Mytilus edulis: one gene and its partner. The protein of the gene in region 1 binds, or shares a complex with, the protein of each later gene. Links are inferred from orthologs where the notes say so. Each region holds a gene or a part of one and is shown on either strand. Other genes may lie near its edges.

Region 1 (7,323 bases):
AATATTCACGGAATTTAACTTATATACAACGGGATAACATCTTTTTCCATAAGTGGGGCGAGTTGGCATTACTACATTCATCCTGGTTAATAATATAATATAAATCTAGATTATTATCATTTTCTTTTAAGTGGGGCGAGTTGGCAGGAGTAATATTCACGGAATAACATCTTTTTCCATAAGTGGGGCGAGTTGGCATTACTACATTCATCCTGGTTAATAATATATTAATCTAGATATTATCGTTTTCCATAAGAGGGGCGAGTTCGCAGGAGTAATATTCACGGAATTTAACTCATATACAACAGGATAACATCTTTTTCCATAAGTGGGGCGAGTTGGCTTTACTAAATTCATCCTGGTTAATAATATATTAATAATATATTAATCTAGATTTTATCGTTTTCCATTCAGTGGGGCAAGTTTTCAGGAGTAATATTAACGGGATTTAACACATTTCACAAGTGGGGCGATTTTTTAAAAAGTGGGGCGATTTGGTAATCCAGGTTGGGGCGTTTTTTTTTTAAAGTGGGGCGAGTTGGTGAAAAAGTGGGGCGATTAGGAGTGGGGCGACTTGTCATGGATTCCTCTTGCACGTTAAAGACACCCTTGTAGATTTCGAAAAAGAGTAGGCTAATGCTACTACAAGGCAGCACTCGCAAGACATCATAATTATTTGCAGTCCAGGAATTGGTACTAGGTAAACATGCTACATGTGAATATAAAGTATAAATATACAGGGTGTGCAGATTTTATTTTTGCACTTACCAGTTGCAAGTTTGGTGTTGACATCAAATATCCTTGGCCCATGGGATGCATTGTGGGTTTTGCCCATGGCAACACGTACAAAGTCATTACAGTTATAACAACGAACAATCAGGTGACCACATAAACCAGCAGGCAAAATTCCAATTCCATCTTTTAACTTCAATGTAATGTCACATCTGGAACATCTCATATTATCAAAAAAGGTTTGAATGTCAATCACATGTCTGGTATAACCTATTGGCTTTAATTTTCCAGAAAAATAGAACTCATTGATCTCATCAAACGATGCAGAGGATTGATACGTGTGATCATGTTGGAAAGAACCTGGTGTAAAAGATGTATCAAAATCGGGCGTAAAAGTAGTATCAAAATCGGGTGTAAAAGTAGTATCAAAATCGAGTGTAGATGGTGTATCAAAATCAGTTGTGGATAAATCGGGTCTAGATATGTTGTCTAATCTGTTGTTGTAAGTCTCTGCCTGACAGTTTTTCAAAAACCGACCGTTCTTCTTTCTGCTAGGCATGTCGTCTGATATAGTTTACATTGCCGTAAATGGCGCGAAACTATGTCGTAAACAATAATAACAGTATAAATTTAAATAAAATATAAACTACGATCAAAAATTGATTTATTTTATCATTTTAGTTCCTAAAATAATCAGAAAAGGTATTGTTTATATTTATTTTATGTGTTATGTTATAACCGTTAAACCAACTACCGAAAAATGCCCGAGTTGCGCAATATTCAAAAACGCGTTCTAGATCGGGCCTCGTTAAGTAGCAAGGTTTATGCCTTTTTAAAATGCTATCTGTTTGCTGTAAATTCTATTTTAGTTGAAAAAAATGCAGTAATAATGGCTTTACTAAATGAACTGATACTTTCTTCACAGATTTTTCCCAGCAGTGGGAGTATTTTTCCTGTAAAGTTCAAGGTTTCATCTTTCAGATTATGTAATAAAATTCTTCTGTTCGCGATAAAAAATTCACTGCTCGGGGGTGTTGAAATTAGTGGGGGTTATTAAAATAATAAAACTTAAAGAAGTGACTTTTGGGAAGGAAATTGAGGTATGATACTTAAACAAGTGATTTTTATGTCATTATCCTAGATTCAGTACAAGGTCATCACCTGAAATGACTTGGTCATCCTATCAACACAGATGTTGTTTCTGATAATTTTAGAAACATAATTAGTCCCTGGATCATTAGTCATGTTAGTATTCTATATTTAAAGCTACGATAGAATTAAATCACTTCTTCAAGTGATTAATTTGTACTACTTAAATAGGTGATTATTAAAGAAAGACAACCTTACTTCCAACATTGATGGAATTAATGTTACTTGAATCAGTGATTTAGAAAATCACTCATTTAAGTAAGTCCCCTGACTGTTAATGTGTTACATACTATTTTTTTCGTTCATAAATTAGGCCCTTAGTTTTCTCTTTTGAATTGTTTTACATTTGGACAGGCCGTACAGTGACCTATTGTTATTAATTTCTTAGTTATTTAGTCTCTTGTGGAGAGTTGTCTCATTGGCAATCATACCACATCCTCTTTTTAATATTTACAATATTTTCATCCTCAGAAATAAACTACTGAGTCTGTCATGCCTGTCACTTTGATTTATAGTATGGATCCACTATTGAACTGATGAAAGTTCAATTGATTGTTGTAATGGCATTTGGGAGTTTTTCTATGACTCGTCAATACCATGCAGTGTAGCAAGTACAAATGGAAATATCTATAAGAGAGTAGTAATGATGGTATTGGGTGTACAATATACTTTCATAACGAATAACGGTGAAAATTCTTGCCAAATGATGTTTACAGTCATTTTTGGTGCATGACGATAAAATATGCATTTTTAATATTATAGATGATTAAAAAAGTTGCTCATGCCACATCTTCCTATATCTACTTAAATATTAAGACCTACTTGTGAAGACTTCACACTATAATACGTGACTATATCACACATAGCATGTGCCATATATTACCTCAATATCAAAATTTATTGGTGCTGAAGGACTAGATTTTTCTGAGCTACCCGAGTCCATAACTTTTGGGAGGAGAATCTGAAAGCCGGAAGTAGTAGAAAGATGGAAAAATTGAAACTTCCCCGGACACACTTCCGCACATAATGAATTATCACAGTATTTTAAATTTTGAAACAGACAGCTAAAACACCAACGTGTTTAGGTAATTATCATCTGATCTTACATTTTACAAATACACGGCCACACGGCACACGATCTACAAGAGATCGTGGCAATAGTATTAAACGAATATTTGATTTGGAAAAAATGTTGCATTTTGTTTCTCTCCCCTTCCTCGAATATCTCTTCCGATATGTTTTTCATGGGAACATACTTATAATTAGGTCCTTACAAATATGTCAATATATATTGTCCGTGTTTTTTTTTACCATAAGTTGCATACAGATACATTATTTAGAATCAAGGTAATGATTTAATGTTTAAAAATCAAAATTTATCTGTTTTGGACTGGTCCCTTTTGTTTTGTTTCTGCCTGAAGAATAAGTGATTGGGATATGTTCATTGGCCGATTAGGAAGAACTAATTTTGAAAACACTCAGTGACTCACACTGTCACAGCACCTATATATAGATACAAGGGTACCGTCAGTCGTCAATGGTTATATTCTCGGGGGGGCCACTTCAAACTTTTTTTGGTAGGGGTGAGCAGCTGAGACATCAAGTACCCCACCCTTTTCATATATTTTGTTAATAAAAAATATATACCTTGTCATATATTAATTTACCAAAAACAGACCTATAGATATATTTCAATATTTTCACCGCTCATCATCACGTTCTTCTTAGGAAGCAAAATAGTTGCAATAAAATCACCTTCTTTTCCAATAAATTCGTCATATCTTAAACACTTTTTTCTTATTGCCCGGCCATTTTACATCTTTCATTATGAAGATATCTCAATTCCAAAATACAATACATGTAAAAGACGTTTGGTCAGATCATAGATCTGCCTGGTATTACATCTATGGTCAGATAAATGTAATATCACCCCAGAGTGTAACACCTTCACTGATTTTTACATGTTTAAATATTAATTAAAAACTGATAAAAAGTTTCATTGCCGTTCCCTCGTAAAGGACGCTGTCACAATGGAATTTCTTTAAATAATTGTTATTTTGTTTTATGTATACAAACCCTTGAATGATAATTAGGTGCAAATGTCAAAATAGTTGGATTTATTGCATCTATCACGGGCATCAGTGGAAATACCACATCAGAATAAATAGAGTTTAATTGGTTTGACAAATAACTGATGCATTTACGACTGTGGTTTAACCGCATCAAGAATAAATACGGACATCTGATTAGTTTCAGATACTTATGATATAATCAAGCAAGTGATAATATCAACCTATTGATATATTTCATCTGAATTTCCCACCCTTTTCATATATATCATAGAGCATGAAAAAGTGACCTATTCCAGCGGCTCATCCCTACCACTAATTATATAGCAAGTGGCCCCCCCGAGGTTATATTAAGCTTCTGTTAGTCGTTAGCCTCAAATGGGTCAAGATTTCATTGCAATTCGTCAAAATATCCTTATCGTGATTTATCAGAGGTCTCAAATATTAAATTTTCATTACCGTTGTTTTGGGAAAATGGGTACATGTCGTTTTTGTAACCTGGTCCTTTCGTAACTAGTCGATTCGTAACTTACTAGGTTGTTTCGTACCTGATATGTTTTGTAACCTTATATCAAGATAAAATAATAGTATGAGTGGTAGGTTACTTAAAAAAATGATAAAAAGACCTATTGATGTACACATCATGGTGCATATATATATATCTATATTTATTTATTAAATAATTGATTGCACATAATTTTACACTTTACAAGTACAGTTTTTCAAGTAAAAGTCTGGTTTAAATTTCTTCACTATTTGGAGACCAAAATGTCGCAATGACTTTACTTTTCTCCCGCCTACACCATTGTACATGCGATATATACCTTGTGAAGCTTTGTTTCGACAGAACTTGATAAGTCAGATTGCGTTCTTAACATCCAATTTTCCAATCTTCGGATGAAACTGTGACCGATCACAAGCTTAAATTTCGAATCGACCCAGTGAGGTTAAGAAATGACATGCATCACAAGCTTATTTACTATTAGTGACTTTTTTTTCTTTTTAATTTAAGATAGTTTTAAATTAAAAAACCATTACCATGATTACAATATTGTTTTATTAGATTAACAATTTGATCATTTTAATTGTCATTTATAAATAATAACTTTAAGTGCTTCATTTAAACTTATTAATTTTAACTAACACTTTATAACCATATATAATTACACCAGGTACGAAACGTCTCAGTTACAAATTAACGAGTTACGAATTGACCAAGTACGAAACGACCAGGTTACGAAACGACATGCATTCGGTGTACATTTTTTCATGTTTATAAAATTGAGAATGAAAATGGGGAATGTGTCAAAGAGACAACAACCCGACCAAATAAAAAACAACAGCAGAGGGTCACCAACAGGTCTTCAATGTAGCAAGAAATTCCCGCACCCGGAGGCATCCTTCAGCTGGCCCCTAAACAAATATATACTAGTCCAGTGATAATGAACGCCATACTAATTTCCAAATTGTACACAAGAAACTAAAATTAAAATAATACAAGACTAACAAAGGCCAGAGGCTCCTGACTTGGGACAGGCACAAAATGCGGCAGGGTTAAACATGTTTGTGAGATCTCAACCCTCCCCCCTATACCTCTAACCAATGAAGTAAAGTAAACGCATAACAATACGCACATTAAAATTCAGTTCAAGAGAAATCCGAGTCTGATGTCAGAAGATGTAACCAAAGAAAATAAATTATGTTCATGCACCAAAAATTACTGTTAACGTCAAATAGCAAGAATTTTTAAGGTTATTCGTTATGAGGCTACTTCATTACAACCCTTCTATATTTATGAATTCTAGTTACCCCAGCACCAGTGATAGTCAACTTGGCAATTGAAGTAGTTATTTCGGCATAACCAGTCTGCGCCAAAAACTTTTTCATCTACTAGTCTGGATACTAAATATCAAAACTTTTCCCTATATGACTATTTAACATTTTGAAAATTTTCACTAGTCCGAAACTATATTTACTAGTCTGGGGCATCGGTTTAGTGGCTAACGGTGCAGACTGCATAACAAATACCTTCTGAACATGACGTCCTTCAAACGCTTTGAGTACACACCAGCGTCTAAGTGGTAAAATATGAATATATTATTGTTTGGGCTGTTCCGATCTTACTCCCACGTCATTTGCCTTTTTATGAATGAGCTAACCGACATCATAGAAAGATGACGTCAGAATATAAGCATTTTACGGGAAATTACACGCTTTTAAACCCGAAAATCATCACAACAAGGAAATGTAAATAAACGATGCTAAAATGTATTATTTAAGCCATTTTTTGTATACATAAAAGACATATAAGTACAATCATGACAATTATCATTCACATGATTTAGATTCATCTTAAACTATCTAAATATGTTATTGTGAATAGTTACATCATATCACTTATTCAGTTTTCTCTGTTCTTTTACATCAAATTAATAGTGCGTTTATTTAAAGGAACGGCATATAATGCCTTCACCTAGAGAGCTTTGATCCAAAGCAGTTGCTGTATTTGTCGTATTAGAATAGAAATAATTCATGGGGCTTGAATATATCACAGGTTGTCCCTTTATGCAGATATTTGTCATAAAGGGCCAACTTGTGGTAAAATCACAATATGTAAGCCCCCATGAATTATTTCTTAACTATAAAAGTTTTGTGAAATATTTTTCTGTACCAAAAATTTTATTGCATGTTATTTTAAGTCTAAATGAAATAAATGCTACATAACTAGTTTCTTAAACAATTTAAAATGTAAAAAAAACAATCTGCATGATGTGTGGCAAATTAAACTTTCAAGTTACCTTCAGACATGTCAGACTAACACCTTTACCAACTTATTGAATTCTTTGATTGTAAATTGGGTGTATGTTGGTCAAGTGGTTCATCTTCTTTATCAACTAAATTGTGCATTTTAATTCTATCCTATTTGAATTGACTACAGTTGCTTGTTTTCTGTCAAAGATAATGGTGGTTCTCTCTTTGTGTTCAGACATCCTCCAACTAATAAATCTTGCCATCACAACATACTCAATAGTGTTGTAATTAATCAACAAGCTATCAATCAATTAATTAATAACCAAGCTATCAATCAATTAATTAATCACCAAGCAATCGATCAATTAATGAATCACCAAGCAATTGATCAATTAATGAATCACCAAGCAATCGATCAATTAATCAATCACCAAGCAATCGATTAATTAATTAATCCCCAAGCAATGGATTAATTAATTAATCACCAAGCTATTAATCAATTAATTAATCACCAAGCAAGCAATCAATTAATTAATCACCAAGCTATTAATCAAACAATTAATCACCAAGCAATCGATCAACTAATTAATCACCAAGCAATCAATCAATTAATTAATCACCA
Region 2 (6,849 bases), on another chromosome or scaffold:
TAAAAGATTACATTGATAATTTCATAATTTTCCGAATTAAAATGTTTCAAACTTCCGAATTAAAATGTTTCAAACTTCCGAATTAAAATGTTTCAACTTCCAATTGTAAAGTTTCGAAGCCATTCCAAGTCAGTATTTCTTATAAATTAGCTTTAATGAGGATTTTTAGCTTAGCAATGAATATGACCTGGACCTCCTCGTTATTTTGATGTTCATTGAAAAATAGTAGAAATGTTTCTAAACTTCCTGTCGACAAACTGCGAAAAGTCCTGGCAATTACAGAATGCAGACTTGCTTCAAACATAAACCTGTTAACCCCATTTCATCTTGCTTGGGCATTACAATTACACCATGAGTTTGGCTCTAAATTTTTTATTGAAAATCCAAACTCTCATGGTTTTTGTGCATCCTATTGTGAAGTACATAGATATCGGACATGTTTAGCAAATTTGTTAAAAAACAGAATCCAATACATATTCTATGTACCTAATGGTATCAATCTATTTAGAAAAGGTGGTCGTAATATACAAGAGGGAGCAAAAAATATTGACTTAAATGCTGAAACAATCGATGGTAAAAATGAATTTCACTTCATGACTACAGTTGTATGTCAGTATCAAAACGAATCATTAAACGCCCACATGAGTTCCATAAAGGTCAAACGGGGACTAGAAAGATCTTTGACCTTGAATGATTCAAACACCAATCTGATGGCATGTTTAACTTTCGACAAGCCAACAGAACGGTATGGACCTTCTGTTTATTCTAATGTTTATGGGAAGATTGCGTCTTGTTTCATGGAAAACCGAAATATATCTGTCCTGTCTTTGGTATTATTTCCGAGACAAAACTTAGATTCGATTCCATTTTCTTCAGAAAGCACTGAACAAATTGTTTCATTTTGGACCGGTTCTTACAAAAGGCTTCATCTGAAATTTCGTCTGTAGCCTATGCTCCGGTTATAGATGCCAGGCCTAGCGACATGGCAATCATATTTACAACTATGAAACAATGTTTAGATATGTCAAAACGTGCTGGTCAACAATATGCTGTGCAAACATTTGACAATTGATTGTATGCTGTTGCTCAAATGTAACATAGTGTATACCAGACGTGTTCGAGGATTAACTTTGGTATATGAGGCAAACTCTCGTGGCTATTTTATTTAATTTAAAAGCATTCAAAGACGAAAATCGTGTAATTATCAACCTAATGTATTAAAGGCGTTCTTTGGCTGTCACAGTTCATTTGCTGAAACACCCAAAAGCGCTGAAGGTATTGAACAGTTTTTTTTTCGAATTTTAAAGAACATATGCTGCTATTGTTTGAAGAATTCAGAATACACTCTAGTAAACTATCTATCACCAACCTTCGAATTTTAGGATATAGTTCTTCGTGCAGTTGAAATATTGTTACAGAACCTTAGGGTTGAACGGAATGGGTTGGTGCTTTTACATTTGCAAATGGTTGCTGCAATGTTGCAATACTTTTTCATTACCATGACGAACTATGCTAGGTGGACACCGGCCTACATATTGGATATGTTGAATCTGTCTGAAACGGTAAAATCTGTCTTTATGTCAGGTGAGTTTTCAATCAGACATAAACATGGAGCGGATGTAACCCATGTCTTCTAAAGTCCGATGTCGTGGTCTCCTCTCAATACTTTTGATGATACGATTAAGACCTCAAAACTCAAGTGCAAATCAGGTGACTTTGTTAAGGCACATATCAAATCCTGTAAAATTAGTCCGTCGTGCTTTATAGTTCTTGCTATGTTCGTAGGATATTGGCATATACTTTTGGTCCAATACCTTCAGCTCTGTTCCATGATGATGGTATCATGCGGAAATGATGCTTTGAATCTTCCAATTTATGACAATAAATCAAAGGTACCAGCCTCATAATTTAATACACCAGACGCGCGTTTCGTCTACATTAGACTCATCAGTGACGCGCAGATCAAAATATGTAGAAAGCCACACAAGTATAAGTTTGTCACTTGAAGAGCATTGAGGACAAAAATTCAAAAAAGTTGTGCCAAATACGGCTAAAGTAGTCTATGCCTGGGATAAGAAAATCCTTAGTATTTCGAATAACTAATACTTTTGCAAACGGTTAATTATACAAGTGACCATATAATTGATATTAATGTCAACACCGAAGTGATGAATACTGGGCTAGTGATACTATCTTCAGATATGTTTTCAAACGGGAGATCAGGAATCGCCGTTAACATTTATCGCCTCATTGTATGATCCGAAGGGAAAGTTTAGGTTTCTTCATGATGATCTAAACAAGCTTTGGGTGGAGTTTGCCGCCACAAAGGATGCCAGTCTTGTGAAAATTCTCCCATGTAAAAACACGTGTTTACAGCACATCCCAAGTGTAATGGTTCAAACGCAAGTTTGAATGAATTCTCATATTGCTAAACCAGTGACTCATAACTTTCCAAAGACTCTGGTTGGTAAGAGGGTAAAAATGGTTTGCTCATGGTTTTCTTTGGAGGACCTTGTCAGTAGGTTTCCTTCAAGACCTTGTTTGTACGTATACGGACAAGGGAAAACATCTTGCATATAACAATTGTATATGCAACCAACAGAAATCCGCGTATACCAATATTTGTTCATGTGAATTTAGGGTCTGATGGTTGAAGAAATTATTTAACTCACCGAGCAATATTGGAAGAAGACGACGATGAAAACGATGACTGATGTCAGGTTTTCGAAAGTTGTCATGCGCCCTTTTTTGTTAAAATACCTCATACAATCACTCTTTCTAAGGGGTCCGTGTGTGCTTTTGTAAGGCAAAGGCACATAAAACCTAAAAAGTTCATAGAGATAGAATATTCGCTGAAACTTAAGTCCAATCATAAAACTCATTTGATTTAATTTATAAATTGCCTTGTGAAATATTTGTGACTGGCAATAAATATTAAATCAAAGCAAAAAAATAAATTGACTTCGGTTCTTTTTATAAAAGCCGTAAAATTCAGAAATATATCTTTAGAAGTACATGCGATGTAAAAATAAATGAATTGAGAGTCGGTTGTTCCATCTTCTATTTTCATATTGTTGCTAGTCTGAGTTTCCTTTAAAATGTGCATATGGTGGTTTCCGCATTATTTTCAAATCAAGTTGAAAATGTATTTCATTATGAATTTCTTGTTTAGAAACAATTTAAGTATTATTTGGAGGCGTTTAATAACCTCTTTCGAAATAAATTGACAATAGTGAAAAACTCAATCACTAACCTTTGACCTTATTAAAAAAAAAAGCACCCTATTTCAATTCTACAACCTCGCAAAAATTAAAGAATAAACATTTCTCTTTCCAAAAAGTCATAATTTAGCCTGCAGGTAGGGTGGTCCATTAAAGTTGAAAAATTGTTGGCTTGGTCACTCCACTAAGAGAAGAGTGGTTGAATCATAAACCGTTAAATAATTTAAATTCATGCTTAGTATGCAAATTTCTACTCGCTTTACCTTAAACAGTTTGAATACTTTAAATACGTGTGGTGGCGGTGTATATAAGTGTATAAAGAAGATGTTTTTAATCCAATAGTGAACATTCAATAATAAGGGATTCTACACTTCAAGAGGATTTTCCAACTGAAGTGGTTCATCTGGTAAAGGTGGAAAATACAGAATAGGTAACAGGTTGGTAAAAAAACCTGTGAAATATATGGATAGATTGAGAAATATAAATACTGAGATTACTGTATCTCAATGTTATTATAGGTCTTTTAGTCGAGCTTTTAATAGTCTCAGGGTAATGGAATATTTTTAAGGAAATAAAAACGCGCGAAAAATAGTTATGTACCCTTGATCTAAAGTGGGTGTTTTTTCCGGAAATTGTTGGTGGTGCTGCTATCCAATATGGCGCTGTCCATGAAAATTTTCCAGATTATCAGAATATACAATTTTACGATAACATTTGACATTTTAAGATAAAAACAAAACAAAAAAGATGAGTATAAAAGCTTTTGATTTGGTTCCTGCCATTGAGCGGATCAAATTGATGTCCGACAAAGCCAAAACACAGGTACAACTCCGATTTTCGCACTTTAGCCTACATTTTCATATTATTTTGCAGACGAAATTGTTCGAAATATTCTTTATTCTGAGCGTTTGTTTACAACCTCAGAATGCAGATATACATTTGACGGGTTCCAATAACAACAACCCTCTCAAAAAAAGGTCATGAATAATCATAATGTTGTTGGATGATAATTAATTTTATTAGCTCTTCGTTTTATTTACAATATAGATCAATATATATACTTGTCTTTAGTCCCCCAAACCTAAGTCAGGTATATTACAGTTGTGTTTAGTCTGGTGATTTTAATGTTGGCAGTGTCTGCACGGGTACGAATTAGTCAAATTGACGTTTGTAGGCAATGCATACCCATATCCGATTTTATAATAAAATGCCATTGGATCGGGAATAAAACATGAAATATATTGGAATTTGTCGCAATTAGTAAATAAATTGATTAAAACTACTCAGAAGTTTTATAAATATATAGGTAAGTGAAAAGTTTTTCTCAGATAATAAATATATTAAAAATGGAAGAGAGGGATATTCATGTCTGGAAGACATTTCAAAGTTATCATAAATTGAAACAATTTGTTCAAAACTATTAGTCAAGTTATTTTATACTATTGTATAAAAGAAACTCGAAGTTGTTTGAAGCTGCAGAGAAAAGAAGAACTGGAAACACAAAAATTAAAGAGGAATTAAAGTTTAACAGAATAAATTTTTCCTGTATTTACGGAGGCAAAACAATCCAAACAAATTCAACAGGAAAAAGGCCTGTTACATTTAAGTAAAACTAAAAGATTCTTTTAAGTAGCAAGGTTTATGCCTTTGATGCTATCATTTACCTGAAAATTCTATTTTAGTTGAAAAAATGCTATAATAATGGCTTTACATAATGAACTGATACTTTGTTAAAAGATTTTTCACAGCAGTGGGAGTATTTTTCCTGTGAAGTTCAAGGTTTCATCTTTCAGATTATGTAATAAAATTCTACTGTTCGCGATAAAAATTTCACTGTTCGGGGGTGTTGAAATTAGTGGGGGTTCTTAAAAAGAATGATACTTAAAGAAGTGATTTTTGGGAAGGAAATTGAGGTCTGATACTTAAACAAGTGATTTTTATGTCATTATCCTAGATTCAGTACAAGGTCATCACCTGAAATGACCTGGTCATCCTAGACAACACAGATGTTGGTTCTGATAAGTTAAGAAACATAATTAGTCCCTGGATCATTAGTATTCTATATTTAAAGCTACACTAATATTAAATCACTTCTTCTAGTGATTAATTTGTACTACTTAAATAGGTGATTATTAAAGAAAGACAACTCTAACTTCCAACCTTTATGGAAATAATGTTACTTGAATCAGTGATTTAGAAAATCACTTGTTTAAGTAAGTCCCCTGACTGTTGAAATAATTGTTAAAAAAACAAAATGAGTGACTCGACACATAAATGGCTTCATGGTGCCAAGAAATCTTTCTTTTGCATGATTAAAATTAAATAAATTATAATTTTTCCAGTATAATGACACATTTACTAAACTTGAATATGAATATATGTTTTAAAAAGTAAATATTTCAAGATATTTCTCTTATATTATATTCAAACAATTGTCAACAGATTATCTGTGACTTTTTGTCCTACCAAATTTGTGACTTTTATGTCTTGTGACTTTTTGTCCTGTGACTTTCCGTCCATTTACCGAAATAAGGTATCAGACGGATTTTAATGTTAAGCTAACGAAATAGGGTATCAGACCGAAATAAGGTATCTGACCGTCTTACTAAACAGAATCTGTACAGTCTGGTAGAGATCTGACCGCCTTACTAAACAGAATCTGTACAGTCTCGTAGAGATCTGACAGTCTTACTAAACAGAATCTGTACAGTCTGGTATCTGACCGTCTTACTAAACAGAATCTGTACAGTCTGGTATCTGACCGTCTTACTAAACAGAATCTGTACAGTCTGGTATCTGACCGTCTTACTAAACAAAATCTGTACAGTCTGAGATCTGACCGTCTTACTAAACAGAATCTGTACAGTCTGGTAGAGTCTGGAGGATATCTGACCGTCTTACTAAACAGAATTTGTACAGTCTGGTAGAGATCTGACCGCCTTACTAAACAGAATCTGTACAGTCTGGTAGAGTCTGGAGGATTTTCTAATATGAGGCAGGCATTACTTGTGAAAGGGGACGAAGTCTATAAATTAATTTTTTTAAATCAATATAAAAAAAGATATGGTATGATTGCTAATGGGACAACTCTCCACAAGAGACCAAAATGTCACGGAATACCGAATGTCCAATTTGTTATCTATAATAGTTCTTTATCATGTTTATAGTAAAATTTATTTTCCATACAAATATGTGTATTCAAAGTCTATGTCCAGTGTCACTAATTCCAGAGATCAGGGGAGGTCTGATGTTCAATGAATGTATATAAAAAACTCCAACATAACAGTTATCAATTGATTAATAGAGATTCTTATTACACATAAGTAACAAAATAGCATATTATAATTATAAATAAATCGGTGTTATCCCCAGATTTTCGATAGCACCAGGGACAAGGGTGAGCGAGATAACAAATTGGACAAAGTTTACATATAGTATCACAACACATTTACTCTATACTTCCTCCTTAAGGACAGTTGCTATATAATGTTCTTTTTTTTTTTACTTGAGATTGGTAATGTAGGATAATGCTTTAACAAATTATAAGCAAGAATGAATTATTGAATGTGAATGTAGAAAGTGCAAGGTCCATTCATGAAATAGTTCTATTCAGTTTCTTATATTATTA

Evidence for each region. Proteins that work in one complex are often made in the same cells at the same time.
Region 2: vacuolar protein sorting-associated protein 8 homolog (region 1) and transforming growth factor-beta receptor-associated protein 1-like share a complex: the UniProt entries of both Homo sapiens proteins name them as parts of the putative class C core vacuole/endosome tethering (CORVET) complex. The link is inferred for Mytilus edulis from reciprocal best matches to the Homo sapiens genes VPS8 and TGFBRAP1.

The regions. Positions count from the first base shown.
Region 1 is NC_092357.1:11,539,939-11,547,261, forward strand, and holds the start of vacuolar protein sorting-associated protein 8 homolog, read right to left. Parts: upstream 3,010-7,323; 5' UTR 2,825-3,009; coding exon 2,765-2,824; intron 1,318-2,764; exon of another isoform or gene 1,292-1,317; coding exon of another isoform or gene 769-1,291; intron 1-768. Other genes in the region: uncharacterized protein, read right to left, coding at 769-1,291. UniProt on the Homo sapiens protein: Plays a role in vesicle-mediated protein trafficking of the endocytic membrane transport pathway.
Region 2 is NC_092350.1:13,596,072-13,602,920, forward strand, and holds the start of transforming growth factor-beta receptor-associated protein 1-like, read left to right. Parts: upstream 1-3,835; 5' UTR 3,836-3,968; coding exon 3,969-4,043; intron 4,044-6,849. UniProt on the Homo sapiens protein: Plays a role in the TGF-beta/activin signaling pathway. It associates with inactive heteromeric TGF-beta and activin receptor complexes, mainly through the type II receptor, and is released upon activation of signaling.